Ovis aries: one gene and its partners. The protein of the gene in region 1 purifies or fractionates together with the protein of each later gene. This does not show direct contact. Links are inferred from orthologs where the notes say so. Each region holds a gene or a part of one and is shown on either strand. Other genes may lie near its edges.

Region 1 (3,748 bases):
CAAGGAAGGACAAACCGGCGGGGTGGGGGTGTTCAGACCTCCTTGGAAAAGATAGTTTGGCCACTAAAATGTCCACTGGTTTTCCCAGACAAAAGTGGTCTGGAGTTGCAGGTGGGGAGCAGGCAGTCAGCATTTGGTGGTGTGGGCATGCCCTGGAAATCCAGTTGCCTGCCAGAGCGGAAGGCCTTCAGAGCATGCAGGTGCTGGTGATGAAGCTTGCACAAGGGACAAATTCTCTAACTCCTCAGGCCGTAGTCTGAATAGGTCATTGCAGAAAGGTTCTTGCCATGCCAGGGCTGCATGTTTGCAGTGGGATCTCGTTCTGGTCGCACAGGCTCCACTGGCTGTTCTCACCCACCATGTCAGCCTCTGCCCCTGCCAGAAATCACAGCGGCCTCTTCCTCCTGCAGTCCCTGCAGCGCCCTCTACTGAGAAAGCTTAGCACTGGGCTCAGTTTAAATGCTTAAAGGAATTCTATTTCCATAGAACATACACTACATATATTGAAGAGTGCATTAGAAGGTGAGAGGCAATAAATTGATCCTTGACAGGTGCATTGGCCTATGTATTCCTTTTTTTTATCATTGGCTATTCATGATATATTTGAAGATCTGTTAATGCTAGTCATGCTTACTGATCTACCCTTTGAGGTAGGTTTTTAAAATTTTTCTGTAAGAATTTAAAAATGAATTTATCTACTTCTAGGGGGAAAAAAACTGGTTGGCATTTTTACTTAATCGTATATTTTTTAAGTTTGTTTGTTTTTTCTCCAGAGATTGAACCCAGGCCACAGCACTGAGAGCCCAAAGTCATAACCACTAGGCTAGCAGGGAACTCCCTGTGTTTTTTAATTTTTAAAAGTATTTTATATTAAATTCTCATGGTAGAAAATTCTTATAGTTAACAACAAAAGCTTTATGGAAGTGAATGAAGGGAGAGAATGAATTCCATGCCTTTTATTCCTACCCCTCTGAGGTTGTGTGTATATTTTTCAGGATGTATTTCTGGGTCCATATAAGTGTGTGTGTGTAATAAAAATGTGTCAACCTTTTTCACAGTATGCTTGTACCTGTAACTTAGAAATGTCTTTTCTTTTTTCTTTACAGCCATACCTGTCCATGACTCTGAGAACATTATAATGTTCTTTTGTGCTTCTCACAAGGGGTTTTCCTAGCTGTTACCTACTCAAGACATGGATGTCAAAAACTCACCATCTAGCCTTAACTCTCCTGTCTCCTATAACTGCGGTCAATCCATTCTACCCCTGGAGCCAGGCCCCATATATTTACCCTCTTCCTATGTAGAGAGCCGCCATGAATACTCAGCCGTGACATTCTATAGCCCTGCTGTGATGAATTACAGTATTCCCAATAACTCAGAAGATGGGCCTGGTCGACAGACCACAAGCCCAAATGTATTGTGGCCAACTCCTGGACACCTCTCTCCTTTAGCCATCCATTGCCAGTCGTCACTTCTGTATGCAGAACCTCAAAAGAGTCCTTGGTGTGAAACCAGATCATTAGAACACACCTTCCCTGTGAACAGGTAAATCCAGTCTTCATTCTGAATTATATTATGGCCGATATTCAGATTGCTTTATGACTTAGTGAGAAGAAAGATATGTGTTATACAAGGTCTTCATTATCACATAGAGCACCTAGAACATCTGATGTTCTGAATTCTAGGATATCTATTCTGATATTCTAGTCCTTACTAAAAAGTTGAGCTTTTAGATCTGTGTTGTGGGGGAGAATTCACTTCATGACTATCTTTGGAAAATATTTAATTTAAATCACTTTCTTCTTGATGAAGTGATTTGAGTTTGAAAAAGGAATTTTTATTTTCAAGTTAGAGCCTTCCTATCTTGAAGTGAAATCACAACTTAGTGTTCATGACAAATTATGTCCAAGATAAAAGTAACCATTGGTATTACAACTCGATGAAATGCTAGACAGGTGAAAAGACAAACAGTGGTACAAATTTTTAAACAGTGAACTAAATAACATTTTATAAAGATTGACAGGAAACTAATGTGGACTTTAGTTGAACATTCTGAAACTCTAAGTGCAAGGTAACATCAGGGATTATTTGCATTCAATTTGTTATACGTACACACACGTATATATTTTGTGCTATGTGGCTGTGGGATCTTACTTCCCCAACCAGGGATTGAACTCGGATAGTTTTAATGATAATCATGGCTACAGAGGGCAGAGTTAGTATAGGCAGAAGCATGAGGGGGCATAACTTTACACAAGAACCCAAGTACTAAGTTATGGCATATTTGGTATTGAAGTTTATTACTTTCAAATTCATAAAACTTTGAGAAAGCCATATTACACACTAATTTTATTTTTCTTCTTTTTTAAAGAACTTTTTGATTGGTAAAAGAGAATATGAAAAATGTAGATGACTTTTTAAAAGTAATGTCTTCACATTCAACTTTTAAAGGAAGAAATATCTTATTTCTGAGGACAAGTTCTAATCAGAGCTCTGCTAATATTTGGGTACATTAAACCTCAGCATATTAAATTTATACATCAATCATACCTCTGCCATGTCCTTTCCAAAGGAAACATGCTGTAGCAAAATTAGGAACTAGCCCGGTGTGTTCTTGGTGTCTGCCGGTGGCCCACTGTGGGTTCCCCCTTCCTCTGTGGTAAGCCTCTCCACCCTGCATTGAACACCTGCTTTCTTCAGAGCCTTCTCAAGGGACAGGCATGTGTTTATGCTCTCCCCCTCTCCTCTTCTCTTCTCCTTCGCTTTCCCCTTTTCGCTACTGCTCCCACCCAGACTTGATGTAGTCACTGATTACAGAGATGTACACATTGATGGCTATAGCTAGTTCTCCATGGTAATCGGTGTTCATCCACACTGTGTGGATGGGTGTAAACTCACCTATCCACTTTCAGACACCAGCGATCCCAACAGAGCGACTCTTAATAGATCTGATATCAGTAACAAAGGTTTTGCTTGATCAGATCTCTTGGAATATATTTGTTATGAAGCCTGGAGGGCAAAGAGATACACGAGGCAATGTTCATGCTGTTCCTTTTTCTAGAAAGGCCTTGTTTTACCGTCAATGTTCTTTTACAGTGAATGTTCTCTTTGCCCCTAGGGAGACATTGAAAAGGAAAGCTAGTGGGAGCAGTTGTGCCAGCCCTGTTTCTAGTCCGAGTTCAAAGAGGGATGCCCACTTCTGTGCTGTCTGCAGCGATTATGCGTCGGGATATCACTATGGAGTCTGGTCATGTGAAGGATGTAAGGCCTTTTTTAAAAGAAGCATTCAAGGTACAAGAATGTTGTTAGCTGCTTTTTTTGTTTTCCACTTTGCTTTTAAACAATGTTGCGGATGACCTGGCAGAAATTTTACCTTTGTTTGGCCTGCTTGGTACACAGAGTACTTGGTGACTGTTTCAGAGGATCATGTGTCTTTGGGGGTGGGGGGATTGTTTCAAGTATAGAGTACTTTATCTTTCACTCAGATCTCTACCCCCAAACCCAAATGGATCTTGCACCACCATCACCTGTTGCCGTCTTCCTAGGAGGAAACATAACCTTTGTGAAGGCTGGAAAAAATGTGTGCCCATTAGGAACTGTGAAGATTGTTTCTTCCTTTGACTTATGTTTAATATCTAGCATATGTAACAGTTGAGATGGTGGGCTGGCTCCTGAGGAAGAGAGAATATGTTTTATGCAGTCAGTAGCTCAACTAGTGGAACCTCCTTTACATTCCTATTTTCTGGTC
Region 2 (3,648 bases), on another chromosome or scaffold:
TTAATATTTATTGAGCGCCCACGGTGTGCTAGGCGCTGCACAGACCATTCGGAAGACACGGTCCCTGCCCTCTAGGAGCTGACAGGCTAAAGCAACAGGATGGACAGACATATACATTTCCCCTTCTCTTTTTTTTTTGTTTTTGTTTATTTTATTTATTTTGTTTTTTGTTTTGTTCTGATATATATGGACTGCCAGAATAGGGGGGGTGGTGGTTGTTCGTGGTGTCTGGGGGAGGAAGGAATCCTTACCCTGGCTTCCTTAATCGGGGAAGGCTTCCTGAAGGAGGTGGGCTCAGAGGTGAGTTGTGAATGAAGCGGGTAGGGAATGGACTGGGTGGAGGGTTCTGGGAGGTTTGGGGGAGGTAAATATGAAGGGGTAGAGGGAGAATATTTTTGGGGGATTGATGTTGAGAAGAGAAGGAGCAAAATGAACTGGACCTGAATTTCAGTATGAGTAATTTGAATCTTGTGAGTGAGAGAAGGTTTTTTGGAGGAGGGTTATAGTCAGGAAAGGTAGATGGGAGCTGGGGAGGGGGTTTTCTGTTCTCTCCTGAACTGATTTTCTTTCTCTCTTCCCGTCCTTAATTACCTCTCTCAGGTCTCGAAGTGCTGCAGCTAAAACCCATACAACTGCCTTGGCTGGACAAAGTCCTTCACCTGCTTTGGGGCATCGAGGGGAGGGAGATGTACCTCCCAGGGAACCAGGTACTACCAGCATAGGGCAGCCTAGTCCGGAGCCTTCTACAAAGCAGCCTAGCAGTCCCAGTGAAGACAAAGACAAGAAGGAGGTATGTTCCTGAATTAATGGATGTTCTTGGGGTTGCAAGGCTGTGGATTCAGGATAGCTGTTCAAAGTTAAGGAAAAAGTAAGATCAAGTTTTGGTTTCTGATTTGTCTCTTGGTATTCATAAAGTTCTTTTTTGCATCTGCAAATCATTTAGAATTGTGATTTTCAAACTTCACTAGATAATAATAAATAGGTTTTACCTTACTGTTCTGTTTGTAAATGTAAGATAAAACTTGGAACAAAAAATTTTCTTTACACTTACTAGCCATTTACTATTCTGTGTATCTAGTATTTATTTCATTAAATGCTGGTTGTGGCTTACTAAAACTTCTCAGTCTGCTGAGTTGCTGCTTGCAGTCTGAAAACTACTTTCGGAAATCTTTTCCATACCTTTTCTTTTATACTTGCTGCTGCTGAGTCGCTTCAGTTGTGTCTGACTCTCGACTCTGTGCAACCCCATAGGCAGCAGCCCACCAGGCTCCGCCGTCCCTGGGATTCTCCAGGCACGAACACTGGAGTGGGTTGCCATTTCCTTCTCTGTTTATACTTGCTATTCTAATTCAGACCCTAATCATGTTTTCTTATTTCTATCATCACAATATATTTTTAATTGCTCTTTGATAAAGTTGTAGCTCTCCTGTTATTTTTCATGTTCTCCAGAGTTGATTTTCCAAACTGCAAGTTCGATCACCTCAGAAACATAATTTACTTCCTATTTCTCTTGGCTTATGTTTTAAGGTTTTTATAACTTGGTCTCTTTTTCTGTGTTTTCCTATACTTTATCCTAGTTTTTGTTGTTCACATGCCATGTTTTCAGTTTTTTTTCCTTTTAATGTGGTTATTTTTTAAGGGTGAAGTCAGTCACTTTGGGAAACTGCTTTATCTTTACATTTAAAAATACTCTTCTGCATTCAGCATGTTACAGTGGTTGTTGTGAACTAATAGTACATTAGATTGCATTGTTTTTTCTAGATTAGAAGATTTGAGATTATTATAGACTCTATTTTCATATGTTTTTAACTGTATTTTGTACTGTGTGATTATTGAATGAACGTGACTGCCTGTGGTGAGGAAAAGGTATTTCATTGGAAGGGGTGTTGAGACCTTACAGATGATAGGAAGTTTTGGTGCTTACATTATCCCTACCCCTACCCTCTTTTCCACTCTTAGAAATCTGCAGTTCGACCTAGTCCCTCTCCGGAAAGGAGCAACACAGGGCCAGAACCACCGGCTCCCACTCTGCTCCTTGCTGAGCAACATGGCGGCTCCCCACAACCCCTTGCAACAACCCCCTTAAGTCAGGAGCCAGTGAACCCCCCTTCTGAGGCTTCTCCAGCCCAGGGTCATTCACCACCTAAGTCTCCTGAGAAACCTCCCCAATCTTCTTCAGAGAGCTGCCCACCATCCCCTCAACCTACCAAAGTTTCTCGGCATGCCAGCTCTTCCCCTGAAAGCCCTAAACCGGCACCAGCTCCTGGGTCCCGCCGAGAGAGTTCCTCTCCTGCATCCAAGAGTCGCTCTCATGGCCGAGCAAAACGGGCTAAGTCACATTCTCATACTCCTTCCCGTAGGGTGGGGAGGTCCCGTAGTCCTACCACCAATAAGAGGGGGCGGTCTCGGTCTCGAACCCCTACCAAGAGAGGTCATTCTCGGTCCCGGTCACCTCAGTGGCGTAGGTCACGTTCTGCACAGAGGTGGGGACGATCTAGAAGCCCCCAGCGACGTGGCCGCTCTAGGTCTCCTCAGCGACCAGGCTGGTCCAGGAGCAGAAATACACAGAGAAGAGGCAGGTCTAGATCAGCAAGACGAGGCAGGTCACACTCTAGATCCCCTGCAACTAGGGGTAGATCTCGTTCTAGAACACCTGCCCGGAGAGGCAGGTCTCGGTCTAGAACACCCGCGAGGCGGAGGTCACGATCTAGAACACCTGCCAGGCGGAGGTCACGATCTAGAACACCTGCCCGGAGAGGCAGGTCTCGGTCTAGAACACCTGCAAGGCGCAGATCTAGGACCCGATCACCTGTACGACGGAGGTCTCGTAGTAGATCACCAGCCAGGAGAAGTGGCAGGTCACGTTCCAGAACCCCAGCCAGGCGTGGGCGCTCACGCTCTAGAACACCAGCAAGACGAAGTGGGCGGTCACGCTCTAGAACACCAACTAGACGAAGTGGCCGGTCACGCTCTAGAACCCCAAACAGGAGAGGGAGATCTCAGTCTAGGACACCAGCAAGACGGGGAAGATCCCGTAGTAGAAGCCTAGTTAGACGGGGAAGATCTCACTCTAGAACACCACAAAGAAGGGGCAGGTCTGGCTCATCATCAGAGCGGAAGAACAAATCCCGCACATCCCAGAGAAGGAGCAGGTCCAACTCAAGTCCAGAAATGAAGAAATCGCGGCTTTCTTCTAGGCGGAGCAGGTCTCTCTCTTCACCAAGGTCCAAAGCAAAATCCCGTTTGTCTGTGAGGCGAAGCCTTTCAGAGTCCTCTCCATGCCCAAAACAAAAGTCTCAGACACCACCAAGGCGCAGTCGTTCTGGATCATCCCAACGCAAAGCTAAATCTAGAACGCCACTGAGACGAAGTCGCTCTGGTTCTTCTCCGCCTGGTAATCAGAAATCTAAAACACCATCAAGGCAAAGTCATTCCAGTTCATCTCCTCAACCTAAAGCAAAGTCTGGAACACCACCAAGGCAAGGGTCCGTAACAAGTCCCCAGGTAAATGAAGAGTCTGCAACGCCACAGAGACGGAGCCGTTCTGAATCATCACCTGACCCTGAGGTGAAGTCTAGGACCCCTTCAAGACACAGTTGCTCTGGGTCTTCTCCTTCTAGGGTGAAATCTGGCACACCTCCAAGACGG
Region 3 (3,648 bases), on another chromosome or scaffold:
TTCCCATTCTATTGTTTTCCTGTATTTCTTCGCATTGATCACTTAGGAAGGCTATCTTTGCTGTTCTTTGGAACTCTGCGTTCAAGTGGGTATATCTTTCCTTTTCTCCTTTGCATTTTGCTTCTCTTCTTCTCTCAACTATTTGTAAGGCCTCCTCAGACAACCATTTTGCCTGGACTGTCGGAGAATTCCCTTTCCACCTGTTAGCGTGAAAGCGTGTTCGCGTGTCTTCAGTCGCCAGTTGTGTCCCGCTCGTTGCGGACCCCGTGTACTAGAGCGCGCCAGGCCCCCCTGCCCATGGACTTCTCCAGGCGAGAGTACTGGAGCAGGTTGCCGTTTCCTCCTCCAGCGCATCTTGCTGACACAGGAATCGAACCCACATCTCTTTAGCAAGTGGATTCTTTACTAGCTCCACCTGGGAAGCCCAAAACAATATACCCCGTTTGGGGCTATATAATTTGTTGTGGGACGTGCCATCATTGTCCCTGTGGATGGATATTTAGGTTTTCCTAGTTTTTCACTCAAAAAAAGGATGCTATGATGAATATCTTTGAGGCCAGATTTATCTGCACACTGGGAATGAATTTCACAAGTAGACCGCTGGGTCAGCGTGTTACACTCTTCAGGGATTGATGAGTGTGACCAGTCTGCTTTCCAGGAGGTGTGTGGTTCTGAGCTCACATGAAGGGCCCCACAACTCCCATCTCAACTGGCTTCTGGCATCCTTCTGGAATCAAAACCTTTGCAGGACCTTCTTACCTACTGACTGGGTCACAGGGATTGAAGTGGTAGCCCTTTCTTGTTTCTTGTTTCAGCTGGCAAAACTCAAGTCTCAGATGCTGCTGCACCCCCCAGGAAGAAGAGGAGGAAAGCACAGAAGAAACCCCGGGAGCGGGAGGAGAAGACTGCAAAGCCCAGGGCCCAGGCCTCTGCGAAGTCTGAGGCCAGGAAGCCAGAGGCGGCTGAGGAGGAGGAGGGAGCCGCCAGCTCCACCAGGGCCCCGGCGGGTGAGGGGGCCGGGCAGGCAGGCAGGGCCCCCGCGGGTGAGGGGGCTGGGCAGGCAGGCAGGGCCCCCTGGGATCTGGGATAGGTGTGTATGTGGCCCTCTCCGGTCATAACAGCACGATCAGGTACACTGGGATGGTGTGAGGCTTTGCAGAGGACAGATCGCAGGGTCTCTGGGTGGATGGGAAGCTCAGGAAGGGCACAGACGTCCCAGGTCATATAGTAACCGGGACGGGGAGGGTCATGGCCGTGTCCTCTGAGATCCTGAGAGGCCTGGCACGCCGAGCTTCACTGCCCTCAAGTCTCTGAAGTGATGTCGTGAGAGCTGCCTCTGGGTGTGGGTGGGTGCCGCACAAGTTGGAAGAATCCAGAGATGGGTTTGGCCCGTGTTGCACAAGCAAGCCCTACCCCGCAGGCCAATCCAGCTTGAAGAGGTGAAGAGTTCACTAGAACTGCTCTGCAGGTCCACCAGTGGCCACTGGACAGGAGTGGGGGTGGGGGGCGCACACGGAGGCTCAGGCTTTGAATCCGGCACCGGGGGGGTGGGGGTGGCACAGAAAGGTCGGGAGGGGTTCTCCTTCTGGATTTCTGATCCTTCTTTGCAGGTGGCCTGGCCGCAGAGTCTGACTCTTTATTTGCCTTGGATGTTCTGCGACAGCGCCTGCATGAGAAGATTCAGGAGGCGCGGGGCCAGGTAGGTGTGGGGTGGGGGGCGGGCAGGGGTCTCGGGAGCTGCAGGGCTTTCCCCACCCCACCTGGAGGAGGAGACACCCCGGTGCTCTCGGAGGTCGGCTCCCTGCTCTGCCGGCCGTCACAGGCCTGGCAGGAGGGTCTTGGCACCTCTGTTCTGCAGGAGGTCGGGTGCCGTTCGTGTCATCTGAGGGGCACTGCAGGCTAAGCCCCCACGTTGAGCTGCTGGCTCTTCTCTGCTGCGGCCTTTGAGAGGCTCGGGCTCCTCTCAGCAGCACTTCCTGGGCGATCGTTCTTCTGATTGTCCTGACGGCCCTGAGGTGAGCCAGGGCCTGAGATGAGGTGACCTGCCCGAGGGGACCGCCTCGGGACCGACGCTCCAGGACGTGAACCAGCCTCAGTGCGGAGTGCTGAGTGGGGTCGCCTCCCCTCCTTTCCCTGGGGACCTCCCCAGGCCTCTGCCGTGGGGGACAGGCCCGAGGGCCCTGCCTTCCTGCGGTGGTCCAGAGCACTCTTGTCTGCCGGGCGGGGCTCAGAGTAGCGCCGGGGTCTGCACAGGCAACACTGCCTTGTCCTGACCGAACCTCCCGATTTGGTGGTGGCGGTGCCCCAAGCCCCCTGCCCTTACCCCGTCTGACTGGATGGAGGATGAGGTGCCCCTTGTTGGGTCATCGGATGGACTTAGTGGCCCCTTTTGGGAGGTGCCCTGGCATGTGGTCTGCGCCTGGAATCTGGAAGCTGTGGTTCTCACAGGGTCCCCTCCTCCTTGTCTCGGGCGCACTCTGGGGCCAGGTCATCTCGGGGAGGAACGCCGCACCCCGCTGGCCCTTGTCCTGACCTGACTGCACGTGCTAAGCTGGGGGCCCTGTTATAAGAACCTTATGAGTGAGCGCGGGATCACCCCACAGGGCAGCGCCAAAGAGCTGTCCGCCGCTGTTTTGGAGAAAAGACGCCGGAGGAAGCAGGAGCGCGACCGGAAAAAGAGGAAACGGAAGGAGCTGAGAGCAAAGGAGAAGTCAGCCAAGGCACTGGAGGGGGCGGAGGCCACCGAGCCGGACCCGCCGGTGCCCGGGGAGGAGACGCAGGCCCAGCCGGGGCTGCTCTTCAACAAGGTGAGCGCCGTGCCGCTGGGCTGTGTGCGCGCCCTGTGCTGCCGTCAGGTGGGCAGAAGTGGGCCCCTGGGCGGGCGGGGAGCGGCCCTCAGCTCGCGTCGCCCTCTCCCCCGAGGTGGAGGTGACTGAGGAGGAGCCAGCCAGCAAGGCCCAGCGCCGGAAGGAGAAGAGGCAGAAGCTGAAGGGGAACCTGACACCGCTGACGGGCAAGAACTACCGGCAGCTGCTGGAGCGCCTGCAGGCGCGTCAGGCCCGGCTGGAGGAGCTGCGGGACCGGGACGCGGGGCAGGCCCAGGAGCTCGAGGCCAAGATGCGCTGGACCAACCTGCTGTACAAGGCCGAGGGCGTGCGGATCCGCGACGACGAACGCCGGCTGCAGGAGGCCCTGAAGCGCAAGGAGAAGAGGCGCGCGCAGCGCCAGCGCGCCTGGGAGAAGCGCACGGCGCACGTGGTGGGCAAGATGCAGCAGCGGCAGGACCGGCGGCGGCAGAACCTGCGCAAGAAGAAGGCGGCCAAGGCCGAGCGCCGCCTGGAGAAGGCTCGCAAGAAGGGCCGCATCCTGCCCCAAGACCTGGAGCGCGCCGGCCTGGCCTGAGGCCCCGGCTGCCCGACCCCCGTCCCGAGCGGTGCAGGCTCCGGTGGAAAGTGGACTCTGCCTCGTGCCCCTCACCGGTTTGTCTGAGGCTCAGGCACCCCCGTGCAGAAGAGCCTTCACATCCGGGGAAGGGGCTGACCCAGACCCAGCTCCAGCCTCCTCTTATTAGACCAGAGGCTCCCTGCAGCTTGTGGGGTGGTGGACCAGGGGGCTGTGAGGAGGGAGCGGGCTCCTAGGGAGGGCTTT

Evidence for each region.
Region 2: the proteins of ESR2 (region 1) and SRRM2 purify together in Homo sapiens (affinity purification with mass spectrometry; 3 studies listed by BioGRID and IntAct, with this or other methods). This does not show direct contact. The link is inferred for Ovis aries from reciprocal best matches to the Homo sapiens genes ESR2 and SRRM2.
Region 3: the proteins of ESR2 (region 1) and SURF6 purify together in Homo sapiens (affinity purification with mass spectrometry; 3 studies listed by BioGRID and IntAct, with this or other methods). This does not show direct contact. The link is inferred for Ovis aries from reciprocal best matches to the Homo sapiens genes ESR2 and SURF6.

What each region holds. Positions count from the first base shown.
Region 1 is NC_056060.1:74,529,954-74,533,701, reverse strand, and holds the start of ESR2 (estrogen receptor beta), read left to right. Parts: upstream 1-1,192; coding exon 1,193-1,545; intron 1,546-3,118; coding exon 3,119-3,291; intron 3,292-3,748.
Region 2 is NC_056077.1:2,799,307-2,802,954, reverse strand, and holds part of SRRM2 (serine/arginine repetitive matrix protein 2), read left to right. Parts: intron 1-32; coding exon of another isoform or gene 33-75; exon of another isoform or gene 76-300; intron 301-600; coding exon 601-790; intron 791-1,959; coding exon 1,960-3,648. UniProt on the Homo sapiens protein: Required for pre-mRNA splicing as component of the spliceosome. As a component of the minor spliceosome, involved in the splicing of U12-type introns in pre-mRNAs.
Region 3 is NC_056056.1:2,705,217-2,708,864, forward strand, and holds part of SURF6 (surfeit locus protein 6), read left to right. Parts: intron 1-815; coding exon 816-1,007; intron 1,008-1,610; coding exon 1,611-1,699; intron 1,700-2,603; coding exon 2,604-2,807; intron 2,808-2,922; coding exon 2,923-3,402; 3' UTR 3,403-3,648. UniProt on the Homo sapiens protein: Binds to both DNA and RNA in vitro, with a stronger binding capacity for RNA. May represent a nucleolar constitutive protein involved in ribosomal biosynthesis or assembly.